Cricetulus griseus: one gene and its partners. The protein of the gene in region 3 interacts with the protein of the main gene of each other region in a pairwise test. Links are inferred from orthologs where the notes say so. Each region holds a gene or a part of one and is shown on either strand. Other genes may lie near its edges.

Region 1 (4,549 bases), on a different chromosome or scaffold from region 3:
TAGCTGAGTATTTTCAACTTGAGTCCTTGGTTTTAGTAACAGGTGCTTAAACATTTCTGGATGAAATGACATATAATTAAATGGAGGGTAAAGGTCATGAGTACACGGGGATTCATTGTGTAATTCTCTGCATTTCTGTGTATGTTTGAAAGTGTACATCAATGAACACATTTTACAAAGTAGTAGAGATCAAGTATGATCTTTATTTTCTTGACTTCAAAGCCAGTGGGTAAGGGGGTTATTCCTTCCTCCACGAGAGTTAAGGAAGGTTCAAGAGCCAAGTCCTTGAAGATTTATCAGGACAATGCTTCAATTTCCCAACTCACCCAAGTGTGCAACTTGAAACAGCTTCCTTCTACCCAGCACCATGAAAGGGAACCCAAGAGTGGCCAAAAGGGGGAGCCAAAGCCCACGTAGGTAAGTTAGCATCTGCAAACCAGTAGATACTGAAGACTTTAGAGAAATGGCAACCCTAGTCCAAGGGCTCAAAGCAGAACCAAAGAACCTTTGTAAGCAAGCATCCAGTAAGAGTGCTCAGCTTCCATACCCTCCTGGCAAACTTGTGTTTAATACTGCATCCCAAAGCCACCACAGGACTCCTCTTTGGGATCAAGAATACTTTCAAAGATTCTAAGTTTCAAGTAAGCCCCAGGTTTCCCACTTAGGGCTTCCTGTCTGATGGTGTGACTGAAGCTTGCTATGGATGATAGTGACTCATTTTCATTCATCACTATGGCATTTATTAGCCTTTCTTGCCCCCTCCTGCAATGCCAGGGCTGGAACCCAGTAGCCTATGCACAATTGGCAAACATTCTTAGCTTGCATTGCTGAGCTACACCTGTGGGCTTCTTAAATCTTTTAGAATGCTCAGGAAGAATTCTTATCTCCTGGCTCTGTCCTGTAAGGCCACTAGTATGTTCACAGTTTCTAAGACTTTGGTTAATGGCTGGCTAAAAGAGGATCAAGGAGGATTCCCATGGTGCAAGGCAGATTGCTGTCAGGAGCTTAAACAGGATAGAGGGTAAGCAAAGCAAGACATTATAGGCCCAGGGCTCAATATTGGGTGTACCAGGTATACCTCCTTAAGCAGAGCACCAATGAAACCAATGGGGACCATACAGAGCCTCTATTGCCCTTTCCTGATCACCCCAGAAGTTGAGGTGAGGAAGAGGACAAAAGCAATCCCTTAGTTCCTACCTGTTCTAATGAAAAGTATATAGCTGGGAGAGACGTCTGAGAGAACTGCTTGGAGTGGCCCCAGTAGTTGGATGTTTAGAGGTCGAGTTGGGTTTCTAATATTTCATGGAAAACAGAATCATCAATGTGGTGCTGATGGAAAGCAAGGTCCTGCAATCTGGGATTCATCTGCATTGGTACCTGCAACTTTGGGTTGGAAACTTTCTAGTACCTGAGCTTCAAGCAACAAGAATACTTTGGGGTTTTGAAGACAGAATCCGATGGTGGACTAATTAGCTATCTACAAGTATCAGAGATCAGCTTTATGAAATGGAGTGTCAGGAACGGAGTCTTAGCTTCACTAAAGTCTACTATTGTGTTTCTATCATCTGTCTGCCTGCCTACCTACCTACATATCTACTTATCTATCCATCTAGTTTCTCATGTGTGTGTTCTATGTGCAGAGGCCAGAGGAAGATGTCAGGTATCTGTCTCTATCACTCTCTATCTTATTGTTTTGGGGGCAGAGACTCTCACTGAACTTGAAGTTTGTTCTTTTGGCTAGGCTGGCTGACTGGCTAGCAAGTCCTAGGACTCTGCCTGCCCTTAATCCCCAACACTGGGGTTACAGGCCTTTTATGTGGGTGCTGCGGATTTGAATTCAGTTCATCTTGCTCGCATAGCAAGCGCTCTTATGTATTGAACCATCTCCTCAGACCCTACCTTAGTGTCTTAACACATGAAACTTGGACTAATGGACTTTTTTTATCAAAATATTTAGCTGTTGGCTTTAAAAGTTAACAGCCTTGGAAACAGCCAGAATACAAATAAGAAGGTAGAATTCTATTAACTCTACCTTCAGGTTTTGCTGGGGAGACAAGGGTAGGCAGATTGCTCAGTAAGCTGTCTTGGCAGATTCACATGTATGATACTTGCTGCATCCTCTATAGAACGTACAGGGATCTCTTTTAAGTTCTGTTGATTAGCCGGGGCTGCTCTGAGTGGAACTGATGAGTGTAGACTTACTACTTATTGTCCAGGGCCCCTCAGTTACCTGTGCAATGACTTCAGGGTCCACGGGCCGATGGTTATTGAAGCTTTTTGACCTTCCCGCAGTGGCAGTCTTCCGGATCTGTGGACTGTCCAGCCTGTTCTTCAGGGATGAGTGGCGGCTGATAGAGTTGAGGCTCCCATGGCCGCTGATGGAACACTTATCAGGCCCTTCCTTGGGGAGATTCTGGCTCATGATGGGCTGAGAGGATGGACGGCAGCTAGCCCCCACCCCCGGGGAGGAGGAGTCAGTCAGAGAACTGCCCAGCCCATGGCTGTCACTCCGAAATGTTTTTCTGATGCTCCCAGATTCTGGACGCTTCCTTTGCCTTCAACAAACAGAAACGGCATCTGATCAGGAAGCCCTGGGTCCAATGAGCTGGGATTGTGACAGGGGGCAGAGGCTGGCACCTGGGACATCTAAAGAAAGTCACACAGAATACTCTATCTCTTCAGTTTTTCTTTCTCTTGTTTTCTCTATGGTTCTGTTCCCTCCAACCCCCAACCTGGGCAGAGGTGAAATGGATACTTACTTGGTGGTTGTGAGCTTTGAGTTCTAACCATGTAAGATGCTGTCAGAAAAAAAATTGCCTGTTCAAGAGAAAGTTTCTAATGGGAGAAAGATTCATGAAAAGACCCACTCCATTGCCTGCATGAACAGAAACCCAAGCCCCAGGTGACAAAGTCTCGCCATCACCAAGGAGGAAAGTCTCACCATCACCAAGGAGGGGGAGAACTTCTAGCAATAGGAGTTAACTTTTCCACATTTCAGTTTGCTCAACTATACTACAGCAAGTCCGTCATCATCTGGGCTCTGGCAAGAGGCTATTTCTTGTTCATAGACATGGAAGAGATTTTTCAAGGAACTGCAGTGGCACAGACAGAGGGTTCACTGTGTGCCTGATCTTAGGGTAGAAAGGGCATCTACACAACTCCTATGTCACCCAGCACTGGGCCAATTCATTTCATACCACAAAAGGCTCTCAAATGATGTGATGTAGTGGGATCCTAGCCATATGGGTTATTGCCTGATGCTGAATAATTTTATTTTTCTGAACCAGACTTTAAAGGACCTCATCTAAGATGCCATCAAGCTGCTAGTTCAGATAGCAGCTGTGTAGCTCTGATCTCGACTCTACTGAGGAAGATGGGATGAGCTGGGGATCGGGATGGTAATGGTAGGACTGCAGATTGGGGGCCATCTCTTAAGCATAGATAATGCCTAAGTCATTTCTTGTGCTGCTTACAGCTTCGGTCTGCTTTATCTTTCTGGGTCTGGTAGGATGTGGCCCAGCAGCCTCTCTATGAATGTGGCTGCTAGGCAGGTCTAGCGTTGTAAGGCAGCCATTCTCAACCAGAAAAAGGATGCTCTTTAGTCTAGGAAGACCCTGCTGAAATGAGCCCTCCTTTGTCAAGTTTTCCATGACATTAGTACCTCCAACTGCAGACCGAAGAGATTCCTCCCTTCCAGGTTTCTCCAGTGCCTCCATACAACTGCTTTGCAGTTACCTTCCATATGGTCTTGTGCCTTGCCAGACTGTGAGCTCTGAACAGCTAGCACTGGTGCTTGGCACAAAGCAGATGGTTAATATAGGATGTGGAATTAAATCTAAATGCCACACCTAAGAACGCTGCTGATTTCCCTTTTCCTCTCAAGGATGGCTGACTCACAGATCAGAACTGCTGAGAAGGCAGACTTAGGGGACTGTGGTAGTGTCATCCCAGGCTCTATCTGGGGCATAAAGACAAGGAAGACAGAGAGGCTGATTTACAAGGAGCTCAGCCTGGAGGAGGAACCAGGCGTAGCACCAAGTACCAGCAACTCAAGCCATTTTGGAATGCAGAATGAGGGCATTGTTTTCAGCCCAAGGAACTCAGGGTGTAAGGAAGGTTTACCCAAATAGGTAAGTCTTGGAGGCTGAGGAGGAGTTAATCAAATGAGAGGGCCCAGGAGGAAAGAGTTCTCCAAGGCAATCAGGAAACTCAAGTTTCATGGGAGCACTGTTCTGGAGGCAGGCGGGAAGTCAGACTCACTCCTAAGAGCCAGGCATGTTAGGGCTGTCACTCATGCACTGATTGGCTGGTGCCCGGGAAAGCTTGAGTAGACCATGTTGACATGGTTTGGTTATGGTCTGTCCCCAGGAAATTCATCGTAAGAATCTTAATACCACCAAGCAAAGAGATCAAGGGAACAACCCTGACTTTCTACCAGATGTTTATCTTTTAACTATTCTAGCTTTTGTTCTCTGTAATTCCTTTGTATGAATGGTATCAAATACATGTTGACTTAAAATTTAATACCCAGGGCTGAAGCTGTAGCTCG
Region 2 (5,358 bases), on a different chromosome or scaffold from region 3:
TAATGGCTCACACCTGTAACTCCAGTTCCTGGGGTTCTGACAATATCTCTTCTGGCCTCTGAAAGCACCAGGTACACATGTGGTACACAGACATATATGCAGGCAAAACACCCCACCCATACACATAAAATAATTGTTTAATAAGTAATTAATCTTATTTAAAAAAAAAACACAAAACTTTGTTGCCAATTCCCTACACCAAGTATATAAAACTAACTCATAATAATAGTAATTTTGTCATCAATCCCAAATAAAACCTACCTCTGGCCAAGCAGTGGTGGCCCAGGTCTTTAACCCCAGCACTTGGGAAGCAGAGGCAGGCAGATGGCTATGAGTTCGAGGCCAGCCTGGTCTACAGAGCTAGTTCTAGGACATCTAATGTTACACAAAAAAACCCTGCCTCTAAAAAAAAAACAACAACAATAACAAAAAACAAAGAAACAAAAAAAGATAAAGCTAAGTGTTAGAACATGTGCTTAGCATGCACAAGGGTCTGGATTGTACTACCTACACACAGGCACACACACACACGCCTTTAAAAAACAAAATCAACAAATTCAACAAACTTCAACTTTTCTATTTGAAGTTAAAATTTATACATGCATTCCCACAAACAGCAATTACTTCCCCCAAAACAGTAATTTTGCAAATAAAAATCTAAGACCAGACAATACCAGAACTCTTAAGCATGGACCTAAGGAAGATCATTTTATTTCTCGTAGAACCCTAGAGGAAAATAGTCGCTTTTTAGAGAAAAAGATTTCTACACAGGGACCAGGGTACAGTAAGAGGTGAAATAGGTACCTGGCACACACAGGTCTGAGGTTTGGAGACCCCACACACAAGAGATATTTCATTAATGCCTACTAACACCAGATAGTTTCATAAACAACCTTTGCTACCCCCCCCAGTTGAATTTCGGAAAGGTAAAAGGAATGATGGGGGATAGAGAGAGATCTCAGTAGTTAAGAGCACTGCCTACTCTTCTAAAGCACCCAAGATCAATTCCCAGCACCCACATGGAGGCTGCTTACAAACCATCTGTTAACTCCTATTCTAGGAGATTCATCATTGCCTTCTTCTGGCCTCTGAGGACATTCATGCAGTACACAGACACACGTAGGAAAAATAGTCAAAACACATAAGACAAAACAATGTAAGTTTAAAAAAAAAATAAAGTAAAAAAGAAATGGTTTCCTGTCATTTTGTCCCTACAACGACTAAAGCAGTACGAGTACTAAAAAAACCCCATTATTAAAGGCAAAACTTTTACAGTTTTAAATATTTGCATTATATTTCTACACAGGAATGAAATTGTCAAATAGGCCTTTTACTTTCTATCAAGGGCCAAAATGACAATTGGGCATCATTCCCTACAGAAGGAATGAACTTCAACTACTGCAGACAGGCTATGACTGAAAATTACACAAAGATTAAGAAACACCAAGAGTTCTTAGAAGAGGCAACCACCAAAGAGAAACATCTGAGCTTGCTCACCATCACCCTGCATGTCTGAGGTCCAGAGCGTCAGGTTATCACGTAGCAGCTGCATGATAAGTGTAGAGTCCTTATAGCTTTCTTCACTCAGCGTGTCCAGTTCTGCAATTGCGTCATCAAAAGCTGCTTTTGCCAACCTGAAATAAATGCATCGTCAGCATTCAATTAACAATAAAGATAGGAACAATGGGCTATTTCTCGGTTCTCCAGTGCTATAAAGGTAACAGAGACAAATGCTGAAAGATAACTTTGAATAAAAACATGTAAGACTGTATTTTTGTTCAGCCTGCTTTTAATTAAAAAAAAAAACTTTTTAAAGATGTATTTGTAGAATTTTGTATGGATGCACCTGAAGGTCAGATGACAACCTGTCACAGCTGCCTCTCCCTCCATCACATAGATCCCAAGGACTGAACTCAGGCTAATCAGGCTTGATAACAAGCATCCCTACCTAGTTGGGCATCACTAGAGATGCTCGTGTTGCATTTTAAACATCTTCCTATACAAACCCTTGAAATTTCAAGCCTAGCAAAGAGAGCTAACAAACAGTACATGGAGACAAGATCTAGTTCCATGCCATCTGGAGTGACACAGTGAGACTATCTCAAAGCAACTACATAAATTGCCTCAGTCTTTTAGGTGGTATGATTACAAGCATGGACCACCTCACTCAGCTAAGAAAAAAAAAAAAAGGTTAGTTTTTCCAGAGAGGGTTTCTCTGTGTTGCCCTGGCTGTCCTGGAACTCACTCTACAAATCAGGCTGGCCTCGAACTCACAAGAAATCCACTTGTCTCTGCCTCCTCACGCTGGGATTAAAGGTGTGCACCACCACCACCCAGCCAAGATTTACTATTTTTGATAATATGTATTTGTATTTATATGTACAAGAGAACAGGTGTCAGAGATGAGGCTGGAAGCAACAGATCCCCTGGAGCTGGAGTCATAGGCATCTGTGAGCTGCTTCATGCAGGTGCTGGAAATAAACTCAGGTACCCTAAAAGAACATATTCTTTAACACTGAGCCATTTCTCTAGCCCCAAGGCACTAATTTTTAATTACATGAACTATTACAAATAGGCTAGACTGAAAATAATCTATATAGTCCAACCTCCACCAAAATACATTTGTGACAAAGATATTTTCCTGCCAGGCAGTGGTGGCACAAGCCTTTAATCCCAGCGTTCGGAAGGCAGAGGTAGTAGGATCTCTTTGAGTTCTAGGCCAGCTTTGTCTGTACTGATTGAGTTCTAAGGACAGCCAAAGCTACACAGAGAAACCCTGCCTAGAAAATCCAAAAAGGTTCAAGTGTCTTTGGATAAGACACAATTGTGGCACATACCTACAATGGATACAATTCAGAACCCAACTACCCTCTCCTAAAGGAAAAGAAGAGGAAAAAAAATTGTTTTGTTTTATTCAGTGTCTCCTATAGCCCTAGCTGACTTTGAATGCCTAGTTGTCCTGCCTCCACCTTCAGAGCACTGGAATCACAGGGATGGACCTTCACACCCAGCTTTTGGAAGAGGAAGATTGAGACAGGGTTTCACACTGTAACCTAGGCTGGCTTCAACTGCACCCATCCTCCTGCCTCAGTCTCTTGAAGACTGGGATTACAGGCATAAGTCACTGCCCCAGGATAGAAGATCTACAGATACTGTTACCAAGAAATTAATAGAGTAGACAGAAAGGGACAGATACAATTCTACTTATATAAGATGCCAAGAACAAACAAATTCAGGTTAGAAGAGACTGGGGAGTGGAGTTACTAAAGCTTAGTTTGGGTCAAGTGGTGAAAGTGATGAAATGGCTAGTACTAAAGGTCATAAAAAATTGTGAGCATATTAAACTCCTCTCAAGTACACACATGAAAATGGTTACAATGAATTCTTTGTAGTATACATGTTTACCAGTACAACAATCCTTAATTTGCATTTAAACAAATCTCAACAGTTAAGTACATTTACTGCCCTTCCATGGGATCCAAGTTCAATTTCCAGCACCCGAAATTTGCTCACAACTATGTGATGTCCCTAATTGTAAGTTGTTCAGACTTTCATCTGCCATGCTATGGACCCACATACACACACACCCCCAAAAAAAGTGCAGAAATTTTCGTGTGGCAACAGTTTCATAAACACCACTGAGACTGATAATATAGTTGTTCGTATTAAACAGAATTTTTGTTTGTTTTTTTGTTTTGTTTTTCGAGTCAGGGTGTCTCTGTATAGCTTTGGAAGTTGTCCTGGAACTCGTTCTGTAGACCAGGCTGGCCTCGTACTCACAGAGATCCACCTTCCTCTGCCTCCTGAGTGTTGGGATTAGAGGCGTGCACCATCAATGCCCAGCAGAAAATTAAAAAAAAAAAAAAAAAAAAAAAAGTTCTTGTCAGGAGGTGGTGGCACTCGCCTTTTATCCCAGCACTTGAGAGGCAGAGGCAGGTTAATCTCTTTAGGTTCCAGGACAGCCTGGTCTACAGATCAAGTTCTAGGACAACCAAGGCTACATAGGAAAACTGTCTCAAAATACAACCACAACAAAAAAGTTCACCAAGAGTATTAAATGCATTCCCAGAGAAGTGGGGTGGTAAATGTCTATGATACCTAACAATTGGGAGAATGAGACATGAGAACTGAACATTCAAAGATAAGCTAGGCAAGATACCTGCTACCAAAACCCTGTCATAAGTAACTCAAAGACTAAATGAAGACTAATACATACAAATTAAGTCAACAGAACCCTGTGACAACCTACAAGAAAACAGAAGGTAGCTCCTCTAGAACCTCTGCACTCCACACTAGGAACTTGGTTCTTCCATAACTTACCTGCAGGCACGGTCAGGGGAATTAAGAATTTCATAGTAGAATACGGAAAAGTTGAGAGCAAGACCTAAACGAATGGGGTGCGTTGGAGGAAGTTCTGTCATCGCAATGTCACTAGCAGCTTTGTAAGCCACGAGGCTGTTCTCTGCGGCCTCCTTCCTGTCATTTCCTGTGGCAAACTCAGCCAGATACCTGTGGTAGTCCCCTTTCCTACAACACAACAGCAAATAAAAACCACAATTAGAAAATACTTCTTGGAGCATGACGTGTAGTACATGACAAAATACAGTTAACAATTAAGACATTTTTTAAAAACAACTTCAGAATCCATCAGCTTGACTCATCTCTTTCCTTAATGATTTCATATTAAAAATTATTGGGAAACTTTCACAGAATATAACTCAAGCAAAATCATGTAACTAGTATAAAAGTGTTTCCAAAGAACAACACACACATTCATTAATCACAATACACATTTGCTGCTGTCACTACAGTGACGAGACACCTAGAGCCCTGAGCACAATGAGCCCCTCCTATTCCTGAGCTATACCCAGCTTTGTAATTTCTCCACAGACAGTTAAGATTATACTGTGAACTTCACAGCTTTAGCTGAAAGAGGAAGGAATCCCAAAAGAAAAAACCCAGGCAAGGTGTGGTGCCATATAATCCTAGCACTTAGAAAGTTGATAGAGTGGAGGTGGGAACAACCAAAAGATAGGTATTTTGTAAAGTGCAACAATATCAATTCTTCATTAGTACTGTATTTGCAACTAATTAAAACTTTAAGTCTTGGGAACTAACCCTCCAATATTCAACTGTTTAAAGTCAAAAGCTGAAAACCTACATTTAAAAAGTTATGGTTCTAAGGCTAACTTTAAATCTCACATTTTTCCCTTCTAGTATAGAACCTACATTTTATAATAGAAAACCTTGGACTCGCCAGTGTTAGCTGCTGGAATGAGGTGTTTGTCCAGTACATCCAGAATGTCACAACAGATTAACTTGAGTTCAGTTTCAACCTAGGAAGGGAAAACATGAGAT
Region 3 (6,051 bases):
GAACCTGTCCCTTCTATACACTCCAAGGTCTCAGAAAGTTGCCCCCTCAAGACTCCCAGCCACTGCCCTGGGGCCTGCCCCTCCGTGGAAGAAATCCTATAGCCACAACTCTTCCAACCTCACCCTGAGTCTTCTAGAAGCTGGAGAAAAAAACACAGTGCAAGGTCCACCCCAGAAACTCTGAGTGAATAGCCACAGGCACACAAGGAGAACACCAGGAAGGGCACTGAAGGAGGATGCCCTTTCTTTCTGACTTCTCTGGCAAGAGCATCATAATTTCATTCCCAGCGTGTGGCAGGGATATTGAGAGGAGGGGAAAGAAGTGAGGTCTTGGCTCCAGACATCCATGGGACTGAGGATCTTTAAGTTATTCTAAGCCCTCTCTCTTCCCCCACACATTGCAGAGTTCTTAAGGCACCTTCCACCCCCGAAAGTTCCCCTTCTCCCTCCACCTGTGCCCGATCAACACCCCTCTTTCTGGTCAACTCTCACTGGCCTCTGGCCAGCTCCACTCTCTCCTGACCCCGTGTTATAACTTGTCCTTCTTCTCTTGGATATTTTTGACCATGAGGGGTGTTTTGGGCACTGCCTGACATCTCTTGAGTGCAACTCATTTCTACATCTCGTCCTGGAGAGCATGAAGTCAGAAAACCCCATGAAGATGCCATCACCAGCATCCCAGGGACAGAATCAGCACCTTCTTTTCTCCCCTGCTGCCCCCATGTGGGCCCATTTGGTATAGTTGATGGGGCCATAAGTCATGGGCAGGCAGGTGATGAATTAGTATGCTTCCTACAGAGCAGATCCTCCACCTGTTCTGGCCAGTCAATAAAGTTCAACCTACCACCAAGTGGTTGATGCTCCAAAGTGCTTTTGAAATCCACAGACCAACAGGGTGGCAGGCTAGGCAGCTGTCCCAAAGCAAAGACTCTCAGAGGAGTCAACCACACACTCCTGGGGTGGAGAAGGCAGATGTCAAGGAGAAAGACAAAACTGTCTACAAACAGATTCAAACTCACCTTTATCATAATCGCCATCCTCAACCGCTTTTTCTTGAAGTTTCTGAAGCTTTAAACTTAAGGAAGTGACCTGTGTTGAAGGGGAAACATGAGAAACAAATTACATGCAAGAAATTACATATAAGAGACAGATTACAAATAAATTCCAGTAAGTTCGTTTTGTGAAATCTAGAGCACCTAAAAACTATTTCAAGGATGGGCTGTCAAGATGGCTCCAGGGTGAAGGCCCTTACTGCCAAGCCTGAGAACCTGAGTTGGGTCCCTAAGGCACACACAGTGGTAAAGGAGACCTGACTTCCACAAGTGTTCTCTGACCTCTACAAAAGTACCATGACACACACATGCACATAAATAGAAATTGTAGTAAAAACTATAAGTCCTGAAAAGCATTACCATTTTTAAAAGGGAAACTATTTTTAAAGTAAACTTTTATTTAAACTATTTTTAAAAAATACACACACACACAAATATACAGTTTTCCAATGTCAAATGCGTGTTTCTTTAAAAAAAAAAAAAAAAAGTTCCTTGAACAAAAAAGCCTAATTTAGCATGAAATCCCCAGAAAGATTTAGAATGCCACAAATACCACAATGCTATGTCATTATCAGCATGAAGAGCTTTGTGGAGAGAAGGAACACAGACGCAGGCCAAATGACCTCTGCTCTGACCCTCAGAGCATAGCCATCAGGTAAACATGGGGACTAAAAGAGTAGCCAAGAGGAGGCGGGCATGGACCACAGCTGTCTCCAAGCTAGCCAGCCCAGGATGGGGGGCAGCCCTGCTTGAAGGGTCCACGCGGAAGGTTCTGTCTTGGGCTGGACTTGTAGCTCAGGTAGTATGCACCTAGCATGCACAAGGACCTAATTCTATCCCCAGCACAGGAAGCATAGAACGGGGAGAAGAAAGGAAGGAAAAGAAAGTGGAGAGCCACCAGCAGCCATGCCTGCCTTCCTTTGCAGAACAACTTCTAAACACTGAAGCTGGGTGCTGGGGAGATGGATGGATCAGTAAAGTTCTTGCCTTGAAAGTATAAGGACCTGAGTTCAATGCTCAGAACTCACACACACACACACACACACACACAGTGACCCATGCTTGTGATCCCAGCTCTCTCTGGGGAAGAAGGCAGGAGAATCTCTGAGGTTCACTGGCCTAAATAGTGCACTCCACAACAGTGACAGGAAGTTAAGTTGATACTCAAAGTTGTTTTCCAGCCTATACACACACACACACACACACACACACACACACACACACACACACTCACTCACTCACACCAAAATAAAACCATCTCTTTGTAGGACGATCCGCACAGCCCAGGAGGAAGTGAAGCAAAGCAGGGGAGGGTGGGGCCCACTTTCATTCTTTCCAAACTTCAGCTGATCAGCCCCCTTACCCTCCCAGTGTCTTATTTTATCACATTTATTTACTGCATGGCCAAGGGAGATGGCAATTTACAGGAGTCAGCTCTCCCCTTCCACCATGTGGGTCCTGGGAATCAAACTCAGGTTACAGGCTTTGCAGCAAGTGCCTTTTCCCACCGAGCCATCTTCCCAGTCCCCAGTGTCCTATTTCAAAAGCAGAGTTATGCTGAACAACCAGCACTGCAGGTCAAAGGTTGTGGAGAAGTGTGGGCCCCATCAGTGAGTACATGCTAGCACCTAAGCCACACAGACGGAAAGCAGAGAGCATAGCACCCATGTTCAGATGCAGAGGAGACAGAAGTGCTGCCACATCTTTTCAGTCAGCCACCCCAGGAGGCACTGCAGCTTCCAGGAACAGCGCTCAGTCGGCTGCCCACTCCCTGCCTCCACCCAGCACTGAGTTGGAGTAACAGTCTCCTGAAGGACACACACCTCCAGCTGCCTGCGGTTGCTCAATAGATAGTCCTGTAGCACCGGCTCCCATTTGCTGATCAAAGCATCCCATCCACAGGTATCCGCCCCGCTGCTGCCCTGGTCGCCCCACCCACTGGCTGAAGACAGATCCTGGGAAGAGAAGCCAGTGTCCGAGGAGGAGGCCATGTCACATTCCAGCTTGCTATTGCTCCCTGTCACCTGATCCAAGTCCACCAAACCTGGAGTGGCTTGAAGACTGAAGGTCCAGAGATGTCGAGGGTCCTCATGGGGCCTGTCTGAACTGGATGCTCCAGCTGCCATCTCTTGGGGGCTCTGATGAAGGGATTCGACCTCTCGGGATGGTAGGCAACCTTCTGCTTCCCCACGTTCTCCAGCAGCACCAAGGGAGAGTCGGATGAAGCTAAAGCTGGAAGTAAAGGTGTCTTGGGAGCCAGGAAGAACTGGGATGTCAGCAAGGCCATTCAACTCTAGTGATGGCAGAGGCTTCACAGTCTTCAGGCCCCTTGAGCCCTCACTCAAGGCTACATCAAGGCTAGGGGCCAGGGACTTGGAGCTGTCAGGAGATAAAAAGTCTTGTCTACATCCACTGTCCCCAGGCCTACATGGCCTGGTCAGCCTCTCAAGTAGTTTGTTGCCATTTCTGGAATGAACCCCAAAGCGCACTGGTGTTTCTCTCATAGAGCTCTGATCTGGGTGCAAGTGGCCCACAGAGGCCACAGCAGGGGCAAGCAAGCTCTTGAGCAAAGGGCTGCCCACCACCTGACAGCGGCCGCTGGGGCTGAGGCCACACTGCCCAGTCTTAGTCTGTGAGTAGTAGGACTCCTGGCCTGCCAGTCGTGCCGAGGTCTGGCATGGCATGCCCGCTGCTGGAGAGAGGAACCCGATCCCCGGACCGGCTGTGCTTCTCATGTAGCCTGGTCTCCGTGTCAGCCTCTGCCTCTGAGGGGCTGCTCCAGGCGGTGAGCCGTGCCCACTGTCTGAGAACAAGAGAAAACAATACATGTTACTGACTTAGTAGGAACTGCATGTGGCAGATATGCTAAACATACAAGTCATCTGTGAGTACACCTGTCAAAGGCACAGCATGAAAACTCTTACGACCCCTAGCCAGGCATGGTGGAACATACCCATAAAACCAGTACTTGGGACATGAGGGTAGAAAGACCAGGAGTTCAAGGTCATCCTCAGAAACACAGGGAGTTCAAAGCTAGCCTGAGCCACATGATACCCTGTCTTTAAAAATTAAAAGAAAGAAAGTTGGTGTCCCTCTGCTGATGCCCAGGTCAGCACAGCATCCCAGCCCTTGGTTGGCAAAGAAGCAGGCCCTGCTGTATGTCTAACAACATGTCAGTACAGATCTTGGGGCACAGCCTTAGTAGTTCCCCAGCAACTGTCATAGAGCCAATGATGTATCACTTGTCCATCCAGAAGAGGGCTTGGGAAGCGAGCAACCTGATACCAAAATATCAGCGTGTGACTCATTCCAGTCACTACTGAAAGACACTTGGATTTTCATTATCCAACTATCCATGACATTACTTTCCCAATGCATTCCTGAGGCCTTATGGCTGACTGTGGTACAAAGGCCGTCCATCCTTCCATCTCATACACTAAACCTGTATGAGTCCTCACCTAGCTATCCTGGAGAAATAGGAACAGTGACAACTGCTGCCACCTCACTGTCTGGTCCAAACCTGACTATACCACCTGATGACTGTGTGACCTTCTACAAGCTATTCAACTTCTCTGTGCCTCAGTTTCCTCCTCAGTAAAGGGGGTATAGAAGGACTCCTTGTAAAAGTTCTTGTAAGCATCAGTATAAACAGTTTAGAACAGGGCCTGAAACATATAAATATGATAAAAATGTTAGTTACAGGACTGGGGAGATGGCTTAGCAGGTAAAGTATTCACTGTGCAAGCATGAGAACCTGAATCTCCAGAACCTTCAATCTCCAGAACCCAGGTTAAAAAAAAAATGCCAGGCATGATGGCACATTCTTGCAATCCCAGTGCTGAGAAGACAGAGACAGGAGGATTCCTGAAGTTCACTCACCAGACAGTGTAGCCAAATTGATGAGCTATAAGTTCAGTGATGAACTCTGCCTCAAAAAATTAAAGATAGAGTGTCTGGAGAGCTGGCTCAGTGGTTAAGGTAGCAACTAGGTGCCAAGTAACCTTGCTAGCACCAACTTCAAAGAAATGGACTAGAAGAGAAGCTTGTTCAGCCCCACATTATGCCAACAGAAATGCCAAGGGCAGGTTTTCTAAGGCCACCATCTTCAAGATGTAGATGGGCTTCTACTCCACAAGAGCACTTGTTGCTCTTGCAGAGGACCTGGATTCAGTTCCCAGAACCCACAGGGCAGCTCACAACCATCCATAACTCCAGTTCCAGGGGATCCAATGCCCACATCTGACTTCCCCAAGCACCAAGCACTACTGTGGCACATATAGTACATGCAGAAAATACATTCATACACATAAAGTGACTAAATCAAAACACAATTTTTAAAAATTAAAGGTGAGGAAAGACATCTAATGTTGCCCTTCAATCTCCACATCTCATGGGCATGGACACACACACAAATGTATTCCCATTAACAAGGACATACACCACACTCACAAATACCACACCGTATACACACACAAAGCTGAGTGTGGTGGCACACACCTGCAACCACAGCTCTGAGGAAGTAGAGAGAAAGAGGATACCTACTGTTCACTATGCAAGCAGCCTAGCCTAATTGGCAAGTTCCTGGTCCCCAGGAAAGACCCTGTCTTACACATACCTGGAATAATAATTAGAAGTTGGTGATAACTACTGCGGACCCAGGTATGACCTCCCAAAGCCTGGCTCAGTCCTGATCCTTGTCTTCTTCAAAGTTCACCCTTTCTCTGGTGAACCCAAAACTGGGATGATGACTTCAGTGACAGGCAGTCAAAAGACAGATTTCTGTTCCTTGTTAGGTCATGACAGCATGTTTGGCCATTACAGTCCTGAGGTGGCTGATGTGGGTCTAGTCATTCGGGTACCCTAGCTGTCCTTCTGTGTGTCACCTCCCAGAATGATGCTTACCACAGTAACAGAGCCCCACCAGCCTGGAGCACCCACCGGGGGTACAGAATACAAGAGAGAACAAAGGGAGCCCCAGAAGGACATCTGTCCCTCCAAC

The links. The genes of interacting proteins can lie anywhere in the genome.
Region 1: the proteins of Disc1 (region 3) and Srgap2 interact in a two-hybrid assay, tested with the Homo sapiens proteins (2 studies listed by BioGRID and IntAct). The link is inferred for Cricetulus griseus from reciprocal best matches to the Homo sapiens genes DISC1 and SRGAP2.
Region 2: the proteins of Disc1 (region 3) and 14-3-3 protein epsilon interact in binary tests that used the Homo sapiens proteins (3 or more experiments, as listed by UniProt). The link is inferred for Cricetulus griseus from reciprocal best matches to the Homo sapiens genes DISC1 and YWHAE.

The regions. Positions count from the first base shown.
Region 1 is NC_048598.1:57,758,740-57,763,288, reverse strand, and holds part of Srgap2 (SLIT-ROBO Rho GTPase-activating protein 2), read right to left. Parts: intron 2,556-4,549; coding exon 2,231-2,555; intron 1,293-2,230; coding exon of another isoform or gene 1,203-1,292; exon of another isoform or gene 1,188-1,202; intron 1-1,187. UniProt on the Homo sapiens protein: Postsynaptic RAC1 GTPase activating protein (GAP) that plays a key role in neuronal morphogenesis and migration mainly during development of the cerebral cortex. Regulates excitatory and inhibitory synapse maturation and density in cortical pyramidal neurons.
Region 2 is NC_048600.1:89,211,805-89,217,162, reverse strand, and holds part of 14-3-3 protein epsilon, read right to left. Parts: intron 5,337-5,358; coding exon 5,230-5,336; intron 4,528-5,229; coding exon 4,321-4,527; intron 1,635-4,320; coding exon 1,498-1,634; intron 1-1,497. UniProt on the Homo sapiens protein: Adapter protein implicated in the regulation of a large spectrum of both general and specialized signaling pathways. Binds to a large number of partners, usually by recognition of a phosphoserine or phosphothreonine motif.
Region 3 is NC_048596.1:201,839,091-201,845,141, reverse strand, and holds the start of Disc1 (disrupted in schizophrenia 1 protein), read right to left. Parts: upstream 3,881-6,051; coding exon 2,876-3,880; intron 1,090-2,875; coding exon 1,020-1,089; intron 1-1,019. UniProt on the Homo sapiens protein: Involved in the regulation of multiple aspects of embryonic and adult neurogenesis. Required for neural progenitor proliferation in the ventrical/subventrical zone during embryonic brain development and in the adult dentate gyrus of the hippocampus.